Linked DNA regions of Callithrix jacchus. The protein of the gene in region 1 interacts with the protein of each later gene in a pairwise test. Links are inferred from orthologs where the notes say so. Each region holds a gene or a part of one and is shown in the gene's direction. Other genes may lie near its edges.

Region 1 (3,500 bases):
TTGTTTTCTTAATTTCCTTTTTGGATTTTTAAGTATACAGAAATGCAACTGATTTTTGTTTTGATCTTATATCCTGAAATTTTGTTGACTGTATTCTTTTTTTTTCTTGATAGTTTCCTTTATTTTTCACTTTCAGAAACTGCCACCTTCACAACCACTACAACAACAAAAATTTATATTTGCCACAGCGAGAGCATAACTGATCACAGTTTCCCTGAATTCAAGTCACTTGAAGTCAGCTACTCAGTTTGGCTGACATTCTTTTGATGTTCAATATTGGTAATCTGAACATTATGTTAATCCTTCCTGATTTCTTCAATGAAATAGTTATCTCGCTGCAAACTACAATCAAATTAATATAGTTTGAAGTGTCAAAATATTTATTTCCATGACTGTATTCTTTCTAATAGGTGTTTTTGTGTGGATTTTTCAGGATTTTCTACATACGAGATCATGTCATCTGTGAAGAGATATACTTTTACATTTTCCTTTACAATTTAGATGTCTTTTATTATTTTCTTGCCTAATCGCTCTGTGGGCATCTTCTTGTTCTTTATCTTACAGAAAAAGCTTTCAGTTTTTTGAGTAACATGTTAGCTGTGGGCATTTTATATCTTGTGTATGTCACACTGAGGCAGTTTCCTTCTATTCCTAGTTTGTTGAATGTTTTTATTATGAAAGGGTATTGAATTTTGTCAAATGCTTTTTCTGCAACTATTGAGATGATTATGTGTTTTTTTAATCTCATTCTATGTATTACACTGATTGATGGTGAATAATTCTTGCCTTCCAGGTATAAAGCCCATTTGATCATGGTGTACCAAATGGTTTTTTGGTTGAGTTTACTAGCAAACTGAATTCAATGTGTTGTTGAATTCAGTTTGCTAGTATTTTGTAGTTTCCTCCTGGTTGCACCTCAGCCTCAACTATGTGGGGTATGGGGAAGGGCAGGGATGAGTGCACAGAATACCCTGAATTTTCTTACCCCTTTCACTGGAATGCCTTTTTGGTTTTATGGCCTGGTGCTGTAGCTTCTTAACTGTTCTCTAGAGTTCTCATAGAAGTAATTCTCTTCCATATATTGTTTCTGAGGTGTATAACTGGATTTAAGTATAGCTTTGGAGCTGTTGCGTAGATGGTAATTAAAGCTTGTGAAGAGAATGAAAATATGTAGAATGAGAAGGGGGCCTTATACAGACCCTCAAGAATACCAACATTTAAAAGGCAGATAAAGGAAAAATTAGGAGCATCCAAAAATGGGGTAAAACCAAACCTGGGAAATTTTGTATCATAAAAGCCAAGCAAAGAGTGCTCAAAGGAATAAGCAGAAATAACACATATATGTTGGCAACTGTTGTAAGGACTTTTCATTAAAAATTAATCCTTTCAAGAATCCTATGTAAATTTTGTATTATTTTAGTCCTCCTTTTATGAAAGAAGGGAAGCAGAGAAATCATGCAGCTAGTAATAAATAAAAATGTTCATTATAGTATTGTTTGTAATATCATAAAATCAGAAATTACATAAAATCTACCAGTTGGGGGTTTGATTAAATTGTGGTTTATGGAATGTAAAGAAGCCATTAAAAGAAAAAGGTTGGTCCATATGTATTGCAAGGATTATGTAATATACTGTTGAGTGAAACACATTAGTTGTAGAGTGTGGCTGATACTTTTTAAAGAAAGTTTCTTGTGTTTCTGTATGTTGGCCAGTATGTGCATGGGAAAGTATCTGGAGGGATATACATCAGATTCATAGTGAAAATTTTTGGGAATTGAGCGGCAATTTTCATTTTAATTAATTTAGCCCTATTGTAAGGTGTTTCAGTATAGCATAAAAACATGCTTAAATAAGATTTAAAGAGGTTTCATTTGAGTTAGAAAATCTGAGAAAATTAATTGTGTATATTCTGTTATACAAAGACAAACTGGTCAGTTTTACTGAGGAAAGATTTAGCCATGGGGAAGGAATTCATCTTAAGATAAAACTCAAGATTTTGAGGAATACAACTCAGATTGCAATGATTGAGGAATGAACAGGAAATGTAGAAATAATAAAGGTGCTAAATGCTATTACTTTATAACTGTATGTCAAATTAAAAATATTTTAAAATATTTAAATTATAGGATAATCGAGTTCACATTGGACCAAAAATGGAAATTCGGGTGGTTACATTAGGATTGGATGGTGCTGGAAAAACTACTATCTTGTTTAAGTTAAAACAGGATGAATTCATGCAGCCCATTCCAACAATTGGTAAGTATTAATACTGGTTTTTACCTTAAAGGGCATTTAATAGACAAACCCTAGCTTACAGCCGAGTTCTTGTGGTCTTATTTGTTACTAATCTGTCATGGTGCTGGGCTCTTTTCTGGCTCTAAGACATCAGCATCTGAGAGAAAAAATGCAAGATTGTGTGGCTATGGGAATGAAATGTGGTTGGGGATAAAAAGAAGAAACAGTATTGGTGGGACAGTTTGAAGGAATAGAAGATTGGTGATCCTGGCTGAGGGTGTGGGGATGGGGGCAGTAGTGCAACAGAGCTGGAAGATACATGGATCCCAAGGTCCTAAGGACCTTGGTGGAGGTTTAGAGGGCTAGCAGCTGTTACAGGTATTCACTCTCCATGTAGAAGTAGGAATGGGGTTGATTAGGCTTCAGTAGATATTGCTGCATATAGATAATTGATAAATCACAATTATACACTGGGGGATTGTCTGTGTTTGATGTGTCATTCATTGTAAATGTAAATATAGTATAAAAGTTAACTTTTTTTTTAAAACAGGTTTTAATGTGGAAACTGTAGAATATAAAAATCTAAAATTCACTATTTGGGATGTAGGTGGAAAACATAAATTAAGACCATTGTGGAAACATTATTACCTCAATACTCAAGGTGAGAGTTTAAAATGACATTTAATTTTTCACATTTTTAGGATGACAGTTTTCAGTGTACTGATTTGACTAGCAAAGCTGATATTTATGATTAAATCCTTGACTATACACTTAAGTGTTAGTGGCTAGTTCCTTATCTTGTAAAAAACAAAAGTAGAAAAATTAGCATATGTACTTTTAGTTTATTCCTGATAAACCATTATTACAGAAATAAACCAGATGTAGCTTAGAAACATAGGCAGTTAAGAGTATTCTCGCTTCTCTTAACAGAGAATGTATATTATCAGTATTATATGGGTGTGATTGCTGGCAATGTAGTGGTATAGAGTTGAGTTTATGGTGTATGATTCTGCTGTTCAATTCAGTTAAACTCAGCATTTATCCCATTATAATCTCACAATAGCCCCACTCCCACATTTCTCTCATAAATAGTTGTTACCTGCAAAAGAACTTACAGTGGCTTGCTTTTGACCAAATGGTATTATATCATATACTCTACATAGGTTTTAGTCACATTTGAGTTCTATTCTACACTTTTGCCTCAGAGACCCCAACCTAAAGCTTAGACTCATGCGTCCTATTCTGTATGTTATCCTGCTTTGTAC
Region 2 (3,313 bases), on another chromosome or scaffold:
TCCTTTCTCTTTTGTTCGTGTGTGTGCCATCACACTTAAAGCACTTACTGTGCAGGAGGCAGTGCTCAGGCTCACCACAGCCCTGGGAAGGGGGTACCATCATAACCCGCCCAGTCTTACGAATGGACTCCAGCCCCTTTACCAGATCTCCAGAGTCAGCCCTTAGTTCACAAGTGAGAACTTAACTTTCTCTTTCACATGAAGACTCAGAATGCAATCAACAAACCCTGCAGGCCCAACGTGCGGAGTAATGGCAGAGTGGAGTAGTATGCTCTCCCAGCCATCCCCTCCCCCATCCCCTAGGTCCCCCACCCTGTGGAGTGGTACATTTCCAGAGACTGAGCCCAGCTCTCAGGCTCTCCGTAGGTCCCTGTTGAATGTATAGGTCCCATTGGAAGCATCCTCTGGACTCCCTCCTACCCTGCTAGCTCAGTGAAGCACCCTAGGTACCCAGGAGTTGATGGAATTAATTCACTCCCAGCTCTTAAATTTCATCCAGCACTGGGATTTAACAGCCAGCCCTGGCCTTAGGGCATATCGGACTGGGTGTGAAGGGATAGGAGAATTGCATATTTTTTAAAAAGACTGTTCAGTATTATAGAATAGTGTGTAGCACATAGTAGGAGCTCAATAATTTAAAAAAAATTTTATAGACAGGGTCTTTCTTTGTTGCCCAGGCTGGTCTCAAACTCCTGGCTTCAATCAATTCTCCTGCCTCACTCGGCCTCCCAGAGTGATGGGATTACAGGCATGAGCCACCACACCTGGCCTCCATAGGTTTCTGTTTAAAGAGTAACTATTATTACTTTTTGTTTGGAAAATGCTGTGTCCCCAAAAAAAGACAAAACAACCTGATTGGTGTTTTTGGAACTGTAGGCTTTTGGTTGGAGCAGAGATTGTGATGAGGCACGAGTAAGGGGCAGGCTCCTCTGAGGCCTTTTTATTTTTAAGAATACTTATTTCTTCTCTAAGGGCTTATTGAGGACTGAGTTCCCAACACAGCCTTAGCCAGGCAGTTGGTGTGTCATGGGCACTGGTTTCTGTAGCCTCTTGGGTGGTAGAAAGGGGCCCAGGCCCTGGGCTGGGCTTAAATGGACTCAGGGAAGCCCCTGCCCTTATGGGATTCGGCCTCATTGGAGAACAGACAAGGAGATTTGGGATTTCGGCACAGGAGGTGGGGTGGTGAGCAAAGCAGGATGCTGGCCGGGCCCGGGGGTGGCCTAACCACCTTGCAGTGGGGGTGGGGAGGCCTAGTAAGGCTGACTCTAGCTTTGGCCCCCAACAAAATAAATCAAGGAGTGACTCCAGGACCACAAGGCACACCAGCCACATCGTCCGTTGACTGAAGGCAGTAAGGACAGTGGGTGAAATCAGAGGCTTTGGGGTCCTGCCAGGGGACCCTGAACATGCTACTTCTGGGCCTCGGTTTCACCCTCTCTGAAATGAGGACCACTGTAGGATTGAGTGACAGTAGGACCAATCAGTAAAAGTGTGCAGTCATCATTGCACCCCTTCCCACGTTCCTGCAGGATGATGAGTGCTGTACCCCATCTCCTGCCACTTACCGACCCCTATGAGTGGGGAGCGAATAGCCCCATTTTACAGGTGGAAGATGCAGGCTCAGAGAAGCCAGACAGCTTGCCTGGGGTTGTACCGTGGGAAGCAGCAGAGCTCTGTCAGGTCCTGGCCTTTGGAGCCTGGATGCTCGTTTCACTGTGGCCTGGCTTTCCTGGGATCATGGGATTCTTTCAGGTTTTGGGGCACGTGGGGAGGGATTCCCATCGCTGCCAGCTGTTGTCCCACGGCTCACTCAGCCTTTCTGGCCATTCTCTCCCCAGGCGAGAAGCCCTTCTCCTGTCCCCACTGCAGCCGTGCCTTTGCCGACCGCTCCAACCTGCGGGCCCACCTCCAGACCCACTCGGACGTCAAGAAGTACCAGTGCCAGGCATGCGCTCGGACCTTCTCCCGAATGTCCCTGCTCCACAAGCACCAAGAGTCCGGCTGCTCAGGATGCCCTCGCTGACCCTCTAGGCTCCCTCTTCCTCTCCTTACCAGCCCCTCCCTGACAGCCTCCCCGCAGTTCCAGCGGGAAGGGCCCAGGTCCTTCTCACTGAATTCCCTCCTGAGCACCCCACTTCTGGCTGCCTCAGCCCCACAGGACTTTGATGAAGGCCATTTTCTGGTTCTGTTTCCTCTGCCTGGGTCCCTCAGTGGGCTCTGGAAGAGGCCTGCCCGTGGCAACTTCTGTGGAGGGAGGGCAGCTGGCAGCCCCAGGCCGGGGGCTGTCCTGAGCTGGCCTTTCTGCGTGGGTTTTTGTATCCAGAGCTGTTTGGATACAGCTGCTTTGAGCTACGGGATGAAAGCGGACTCCTACCCCACTCAGGGGACCCTACTCCCCTCACCCCCACCCCACAAGGAACCCTCAGACCACCCTCCATGAGGTGTGACTGACTATGCAATAATCCACCCCCAGGTGCAGCCCCGGGGCCTGCGGAGGTGGTGGCAGACTGCTATTTCAACCTCCTGTTTGGCGGGGTGGCACCTGTTCCCGGGCAATTTAACAATGTCTCAAAAGGGACTGTGAGTAATGGCTGTCACTTGTCGGGGGCCTGAGTGGGGTGCTCTGGTCTGACCCATGTGTCTCCCAGAACTATTTTGGGTGCCTGACAGGTGGGCCTGGGAGGAAGATGTTTACATTTTTAAAGGTACACTGGTATTTATATTTCAAGCATTTTGTATCAAGGAAACGTTTTGTATAGTTATATATGCAGTTTATTGATATTCAATAAAGCAGTTAATTTATATATTAAAAAGTTTCTTTGTAATAGAGGGGTGGGTGTTTTGAAAGGTCTTTGGTAAGGGAGAAGGGGACAGGAATTCCTGAAGCTTAGATATTCTGACACAGCCTTAAAACTTGTCCTTGGGAAACTCACAGGGCTTTGGAGTCCTGGGTGACACTGTCAGGGACCTTATGAGATGGGTTTTCCCCTTGGCCCGGGTGTCTTGCCTGCTGGCATGTGGGTGAGCCGCCAGCGTCCACATGAGCTCTTCACTATACACTGTGGCTCTTGTTTCCTTTCTTGAATTTTGAAGCTGATCTGACCCTCGGGGTGCAAAGCTGGCTTCCTGGGTCTTACCAGCTAGGCAGGCTGCAAAGCTCTGTCCCAGCACTGCAGGTCTTTTGGGGTGGGATTGCCCGTTTCCCCTAGATGTGAGTAGAATTTGACCAAGGAAACAGAGGATGTCCTTCCTGTTTCCAAGGGCTCCGGGCCCCTCGGGCCTCCGTGTCAGCCCCACACCTCTGTCTTGTTGC
Region 3 (3,500 bases), on another chromosome or scaffold:
CCAGCATCTGCAGCCATCAAAATGTTGTAGGCTTTAGTTGTCTGCCAGTGCCCAAGCTGAGCTGTCTCCTTCATGGTTAGGATTTATTGTTTAGAAAAAACAGCAACATTCTGTTTATAACTCAGAGCATTTGTGTTTTCTGCTGAAGCTAAAATACTCATTTATTCTTTCCTAGAGGAGAAAAGAAAAAGAGAACAATTAAAAACAAGAAAAGCAAAATTAGATATTCTAAATTTCTTAAGCATTTTTCACAAAGAGACTAGGCAATTTTTTTCCTTAAAGAAAATCACCTTTTTTTTTTTTTTTTTTTTGAGACACCAGGATCCCTGTCACCCTGGCTGGAATGCAGTGATGTGATCACAGCTCACTGCAGCCTCACCCGCCCAGGCTAAATAAAGCCATCCTCCCACCTCAGCCTTCTAAGTAGCAGCTGGGAACATAGGTGCATACCACCATGCCTGGCTAGTTTTTTATTTTTTTTGTAGGCGGGGGGGGGGCGGTCTCACCATGTTGCTCAGGCTGGTCTTGAACTCTTGAACTCCTGGGCTCAAGCAGTCCTCTTGCTTCAGCCCCCTAAAATGGTGAAGTCCTGAGACACCATGCCTGGCCAAAAATCATTATTAATTAAAAATGCCAGAGAAGCCTTTTATCTAGACTTTGATGTTTTCTACACTGCAACTATCTCTTGGGAAATGGGAAAAGGGAGAGGGAGGACCTTTGTTATTGTCTCTCTGGTGATATAATTGGGAAACTAAGGCTGGGCATGGTAAAGACCCAGTCTTTACAAATAAAAACAAATTGGAAAACCGAATTGCCAAGTGATTCTGTGGCTTGGTAGAAGGCTGCAGGTGAGACTGCTGCGTTCCTCCTGACTTGTAACGTTGTGTCCTTTTCACTAGACAGCCTCTGGAGAGCCTATGTTGCTACTTGTCATGTTTCTTAGGATCAGCTGTCAAGGACAGATGTAGTTGCTGATCAGCCTGGCTTCTGTATTAAGTAGTCGGTAATTTTGTAGCTATTGATGAGAGTTCTGAGGCACTTAGTTTTTTTGCCCTGACCTGGTGGTTCAAAGGTGTGGGGGCGGGTACCAGGGAGGAGGGGCTGTGTGAAAGTCAGAGCTGCTCTTTTCCCTGGTTTTATCCAGTCTGAGTCTCCCAAGGAGATATTTGGGAGGAGGAGGCGAGTGTGGCTGGATCTAAATATATCTCTTCCCAGCCATTTTGAAAACTGTTTTACCAACTTGTGCTTTTTCCGAAACAGTTTTTTCTCTTTGTTACCAAATTATGCAGGTAGAGGTAGACATTTCTGGGCAGCCTCGCCTAATGGTGTTAGTGGGGGCGGTGTCATCACTTATCTTTCTTTCTTTCAGACCGGAACATGAACATTTTGCAGTACTGCCCCTCTTCTGACATCTGGACCCTCTTTGAAACTTGTGACGTCCACATTCGCAAGCAGCAGATGGTGTCTGTGGAGGAGACCATCTATATCGTGGGGGGGTGTCTCCACGAGCTGGGGCCCAACCGCAGGAGCAGCCAGAGTGAGGACATGCTCACCGTGCAGTCCTACAACACCGTCACCCGGCAGTGGCTCTACCTCAAGGAGAACACGTCCAAATCGGGTCTTAACTTGACTTGTGCACTCCATAACGATGGCATCTACATCATGAGCAGAGACGTCACCCTGTCGACCAGCTTGGAACACCGAGTGTTCCTCAAGTACAACATCTTTTCAGATAGTTGGGAAGCATTTCGGCGTTTTCCAGCTTTTGGACATAACTTGCTGGTGTCTTCTCTTTATCTGCCCAATAAAGCAGAAACATGACTGAATTGAATTCGTAGATGAAAGAAACTGGTTCAAGATTTTTTTTAAAAACGTAGTGTCCCATTGCAAGGGAGACTGATTCCTAAAGGGTAAAGAAGGGTTAAAATAGGTCACATATATACAGTAGCAGCTGTAAATAAGCTTACTTGAACTAATTACTTGAAAACTTGTGGAAAAAAGAGACCAACTTTGTTATTTTTAAAATTATTGATTTTTAAATTATGGGAGCAAATCTATCTCCAGACATGATACTCTTGGGCCAATGACGGATCATCAAAATATAGATTCATTGTGACTGCATGGTAAAGGGCCAAAGTCAATAATTGGAACAAATGGTAAAGATGATTTTTAAAATCTGTTGTATTTAGGTCCCTTTACATATCATTAGCACCTTATGTGAGAGATTTTCTTTTTCTTGCCAGTATACTTGACAAGCATTCGTATTAACATATTCATTCCCTCTTCTCCGTCAAGCATACCCACACATACATCTAGTATGTTTAAAATAGGGTTCTGTGTTCAGATATTTTGTTTGCACTCTACTTCTTAGGAAACTTACAATGATGGAGCCCTACAATGAATCCTTGCTAGTGTTCAGTCCTCCTCAAAACTTGCATAAAAACATTCTCAGCCATTTTTCCAGCCTTCTTTGCAGGTACAAATGCTGGATTAATAGATTGATACAACCTCTTATTTTATTTATGTGGCAGATTACATATTTATGTGGCCACATAGGTTGCATTGCTAGGTGTTCTGTATTTTAAAGAGGATATATTATTTAGAAAAATGAATATATGAATATTTTAAAAAATTGAGTCTTAAATTTAAATGGGAAGGGAAGAAAACACCAAATAAGACATAAATTTGCCTTTGAGAGTTACTTTTATTGAATGTATTTGACTTAGTTCTTATTTCAAGACTTAAAAAAAGTTTACCATATTTAAGTCAGGCAACTAATTTAATCTTAGCTTTGTAATTAATGTTTTGCTTTTGTGGACTAAGGTAAGGACAGCATTTAAACATAGGTGCTGGAGTAAGGAAGAAGCCCTTACAGAAGTGGAATGGCTTCTGGTAGTATTTTTGAAGTTAGGTAAAGTGCTTTACTTGCCTTGGTTGTGAATTGAAATAGAATGCAGCTCAAGCAGTTGTTTTCACTGAGGGAGTTAACAATAAAAGTTTCTGCCAATCAGATCAGCATTCTTCAAAAATATATATACTCATACTTACAGAACTTTTATTTTGAGTGAAAAACGCTCTAAAATTATCTGATATTTTGTAATCCAATCAGTTCAACTGTGAGCTGGATTCCATCATTCTGCAATAACAGCAGGCAGAACCATTTCAGTTAGTGTGTGCCTCACTTTAAGAAAATCCTGTTGGGGGAAAATCACTGTCAGCAAATTCATGCATTCCGCAAACACTTATTGAGTGCCTGCAATATGCCGTCCACTATGCAGATGTAGGACGGGGCTAATTACTTAGAGTTTTTCAGTTTATTCTAGGAGTCACTACAGGGTTTCTTTACAACCATGGCCTCTAGTATACTTAAAATAAGGGTCCACTTATAAAAAGCCTCTTTGCACAACTTTTTGGGAATACTTCTATTAAGTTAAATGAGGTAAGCCATTATTTTGGACATAGAAACAGATCTTTGTATCTTGTCACCAAATAATCTTATC
Region 4 (3,500 bases), on another chromosome or scaffold:
GAATGAAAATTACAGAAACACCAAGGATTTACACATAACTAAAGAGGAAGGAGAGTAAGATTGAGAACACAGGAAATAAGATGTTGGAAACTGTTACCAAGAGTCACTGAAATGTCTATAGCATTGAGCTTATGATGGGTAGGTATGACAGGTTGACTTAAAGGATCAGGGTTAAGATGGAGACGACAGAAAAATCTATATGTCTGATTGTTTTTCTCTTCTATATAAAAGTCTTTATTCACTCCCTATCAACTATAGGACAAAAATCCAAGATTTTCAAATGACCAAAGAGGGTTTCCATATTTAGACTTCTTTTTATCTCTGCAAGCTTACCTCCTTCCCCCTGCCCTCCTGATCTTTAGGTTTCATCAACAATAAATACCTGGTGCTCTTTTCTCATGTTTCCTCTACCAAAATTGTCCTTAATATCCTCATATTCTGGGTAAATGCATGTTCATTACTTAAAATCCTATAGACATCACCACCTCCAGGATGCTCCCTCTGAATCCCCTTCTCTCCCAGAGTTACCCGTCTATCCATCCATGCATTTATTTGTTTGTTTATTATTGAGAAAATATTTACTGAGTGATTGATATGGGTCAGATTCTGCATCATGTAATGGGAACACCATGGTGAATGAGATAGGCCACACATGACCTTTACTCTTCGTGGTCTTACATTTAGCAGTGGATACACATGTATGATGAAATATTGACAAATGAAATAATTACCAATTTCATAAATTCTGTGAATAAAAGAAACAGTGAACTATCATACAGAAAAATCAGGTTGAAGGGTAGACAGAGAGGCAAACTACTTTAATATAAGTTCGAACCATACAAAGTTGTTGATATTTAAACTGTTTGTGTCCCACAAAATAGTTTTACATAGTTTAACCTAATAGTTTACTTTCTGAGGAATTGACATTTAAACTGAAACCTGAAGGATGAGATGGAATTGGCCATACTGGCTAAGCCTATAATTCACCATGTTCCAGTAACCAAATGGAAAAAACTTGAGAAAAGGAGTGAGTGAAACAAGACAAAATAAGAGAGAGAAGTAAGTAGTGCAGATCATATCGGACCTTATAGGAGATTGGATTTGATTTTCATTAAAACCTAAAGCCACTGGAGTTCATTAAGATCCCTCTGTTTACAGTGAGGACTACAATAAAAGGGAATAAGGGTGGGAAAAGGCTACCTATTAAGAGGTTGATGTAAGGAGACAATTTGGTATTGCCTTATATTTTCAGAGTTTGGAATCAGGCTCCCTTTGTTTAAATCCTGGTTATGCCATTTATTAGCCCTCTTACTTCATGTTCAAATTTTGAGTTTTACTCGAATTATCTAAGCCTCAGTTTATCCATCTGTGAAATAGGGATAATGACAGGATCAGCTTCATTGGTTTGGCCTTCAGATTGAATGAGATAATGCATTGCAAACACTAAGCAGTCCTTGACAGAGAATAAACACTTAATAGGGAGTAGAGATTAATAATCCAAGTAAGAGATGATAGTGGCCTGAACTACATTGATGACAGTCTATTTGGAGACAAATGAATGGATATGATTCCTATTGGGGAGGTTTAAATATCAGGATTTAGTAATGTTTATATTAGGTTTATACCACAGTGTCTTTAATATGTAAAATTTTTAAATGTGCATATTGTTTGTACCCATGATATAAGATTTTGGAAATTTCTACTCTACTATGTGATAGGCAGTGAATAATTAAGCTTATATGTTTATTTTGTCTTTATATTAACGGTGATTTGTAATCATTCCATCTGCTTCTCTTACAGAATGGACCTTGCTTGGTATTTCAGTAGATAAAGAATTTAAGGAGAGTATCTTTGTTCTCCTTGGCAACTGAGAGTCTGCCCTGGGAAACATCAGGCACCATGGGGAAGCGGGATAATCGGGTAGCTTATATGAATCCTATAGCAATGGCCAGATGGAGAGGCCCAACTCAATCTGTGGGCCCAACAATCCAAGATTATCTGAATCGACCAAGGCCCACCTGGGAAGAAGTAAAGAAACAATTAGAAAATAAAAAAAGAGGCTCAAAAGCATTAGCTGAATTTGAAGAAAAAATGAATGAAAATTGGAAGAAAGAACTTGAAAAAAGCAGACAGAAATTATTAAGTGGAAATGAGAGCTCCTCTAAAAAAAAAGAAAGAAAGAGAAAGAGAAAGAAGAAATCTTGTCGGTCTTCATCTCCTTCATCAAGCTCTGATTCTTCAAGCAGTTCTTCAGATTCTGAGGATGAGGAAAAGAAACAAGGAAAAAAGAGAAAGAAAAAGAAGAACCGTTCATACAAATCATCACAAAGCTCTACATATGAATCAGAATCAGAGAGCAAGGAGTCTGTAAAAAAGAAAAAGAAGTCAAAGGATGAAACAGCGAAAGAAAAGGATGTGAGAAGCCTCAGCAAAAAAAGAAAGAAAAGTTATCCTGATGATGATTTCTCATCTGAGTCCTCATCTGAATCAGATTATGAAGAGGATGTGCAAGCCAAAAAGAAGAGAAGGTGTGAAGAGCGAGAACAAGCAAAGGAAAAGGTCAAGAAGAAGAAGAAGAAACAGCACAAGAAACATAGTAAGAAGAAGAAAAAGAAGTCTGGTCCAAGTCACAAGTCAAGATAACATAAAAAAAAAAAAAAGCAACAATGAGTTTACCGAGTTTCCCTGTGTCAGTAGAATTATTTCTGGACTTTGAGCTGTCAGTCAAATCCCACTGTGCCAGAAAGGGGCATAATGGCTGCCCGCAACTTAAATATACGCTTTTGTTTGTTTGCTTGTCCTTCCTTCCAGTGGTTAATTCCTCTGGGAGCTAAAATTTTCTTGTCATACCAGTGAATAAAATGTTTGAAATTAAAGTAAAACGTGTTAGATAACGAATAACTTTGACAAGAAATAAGTGTATCTAAGGTTTAAGTGTATCTTATTTGAATACATCTTTGAAATATAATCAGAAATTTCCAGATAATGGTAGCTGGTGTTTTTGATGCAAGGACTTAACATTGATGTCTCAATTCCTTGCTTTTGTAGATAAGTTTAGTTCATTTTACTTTTCTCTTTAATGTATCTTTGTTTACATGGGGAAGAGCATGTGGGGTGGGAAGGGCAAGTGTTTGCTAATCACTGTGGCTAGCTGAATAGTGTGCCTTTGACTCTTACACATCCTATTTTTGCCAGAGCAGCAGCCATCTGTTTCTTACTTAATGAAATTCTGGGATGTTGTATGCTGCTTCAAGTGAACAAGAAGGACCGAAGTTTACAGCATAAGTAAGACCCCATATCTATGAAATTTACCTCTTCTTCAGCACTGTTCACTATACAGTATTGAATAATATTTAGTATTACAATATTACATGATTTGAAGTAACTTTTATACCCATTTTGTATGGGAATCATTTTAAACAGACCCTGATGGTTTTTGATTAGGAAATATTCTGAAATTGTTTTTGCATGTTTTATACTATTAAGTTTTAGTTATCTGG

What was found.
Region 2: the proteins of TRIM23 (region 1) and SNAI1 interact in binary tests that used the Homo sapiens proteins (3 or more experiments, as listed by UniProt). The two-hybrid records come from large-scale screens. The link is inferred for Callithrix jacchus from reciprocal best matches to the Homo sapiens genes TRIM23 and SNAI1.
Region 3: the proteins of TRIM23 (region 1) and KLHL42 interact in binary tests that used the Homo sapiens proteins (3 or more experiments, as listed by UniProt). The two-hybrid records come from large-scale screens. The link is inferred for Callithrix jacchus from reciprocal best matches to the Homo sapiens genes TRIM23 and KLHL42.
Region 4: the proteins of TRIM23 (region 1) and FAM133A interact in binary tests that used the Homo sapiens proteins (3 or more experiments, as listed by UniProt). The two-hybrid records come from large-scale screens. The link is inferred for Callithrix jacchus from reciprocal best matches to the Homo sapiens genes TRIM23 and FAM133A.

The regions. Positions count from the first base shown.
Region 1 is NC_133503.1:143,899,839-143,903,338, forward strand, and holds part of TRIM23 (E3 ubiquitin-protein ligase TRIM23), read left to right. Parts: intron 1-2,126; coding exon 2,127-2,256; intron 2,257-2,785; coding exon 2,786-2,896; intron 2,897-3,500.
Region 2 is NC_133506.1:45,529,566-45,532,878, forward strand, and holds the end of SNAI1 (zinc finger protein SNAI1), read left to right. Parts: intron 1-1,838; coding exon 1,839-2,023; 3' UTR 2,024-2,813; downstream 2,814-3,313. UniProt on the Homo sapiens protein: Involved in induction of the epithelial to mesenchymal transition (EMT), formation and maintenance of embryonic mesoderm, growth arrest, survival and cell migration.
Region 3 is NC_133510.1:43,423,104-43,426,603, reverse strand, and holds part of KLHL42 (kelch-like protein 42), read left to right. Parts: intron 1-1,369; coding exon 1,370-1,821; 3' UTR 1,822-3,500. UniProt on the Homo sapiens protein: Substrate-specific adapter of a BCR (BTB-CUL3-RBX1) E3 ubiquitin-protein ligase complex required for mitotic progression and cytokinesis. The BCR(KLHL42) E3 ubiquitin ligase complex mediates the ubiquitination and subsequent degradation of KATNA1.
Region 4 is NC_133524.1:90,195,753-90,199,252, forward strand, and holds part of FAM133A (protein FAM133A), read left to right. Parts: intron 1-1,800; 5' UTR 1,801-1,899; coding exon 1,900-2,643; 3' UTR 2,644-3,500.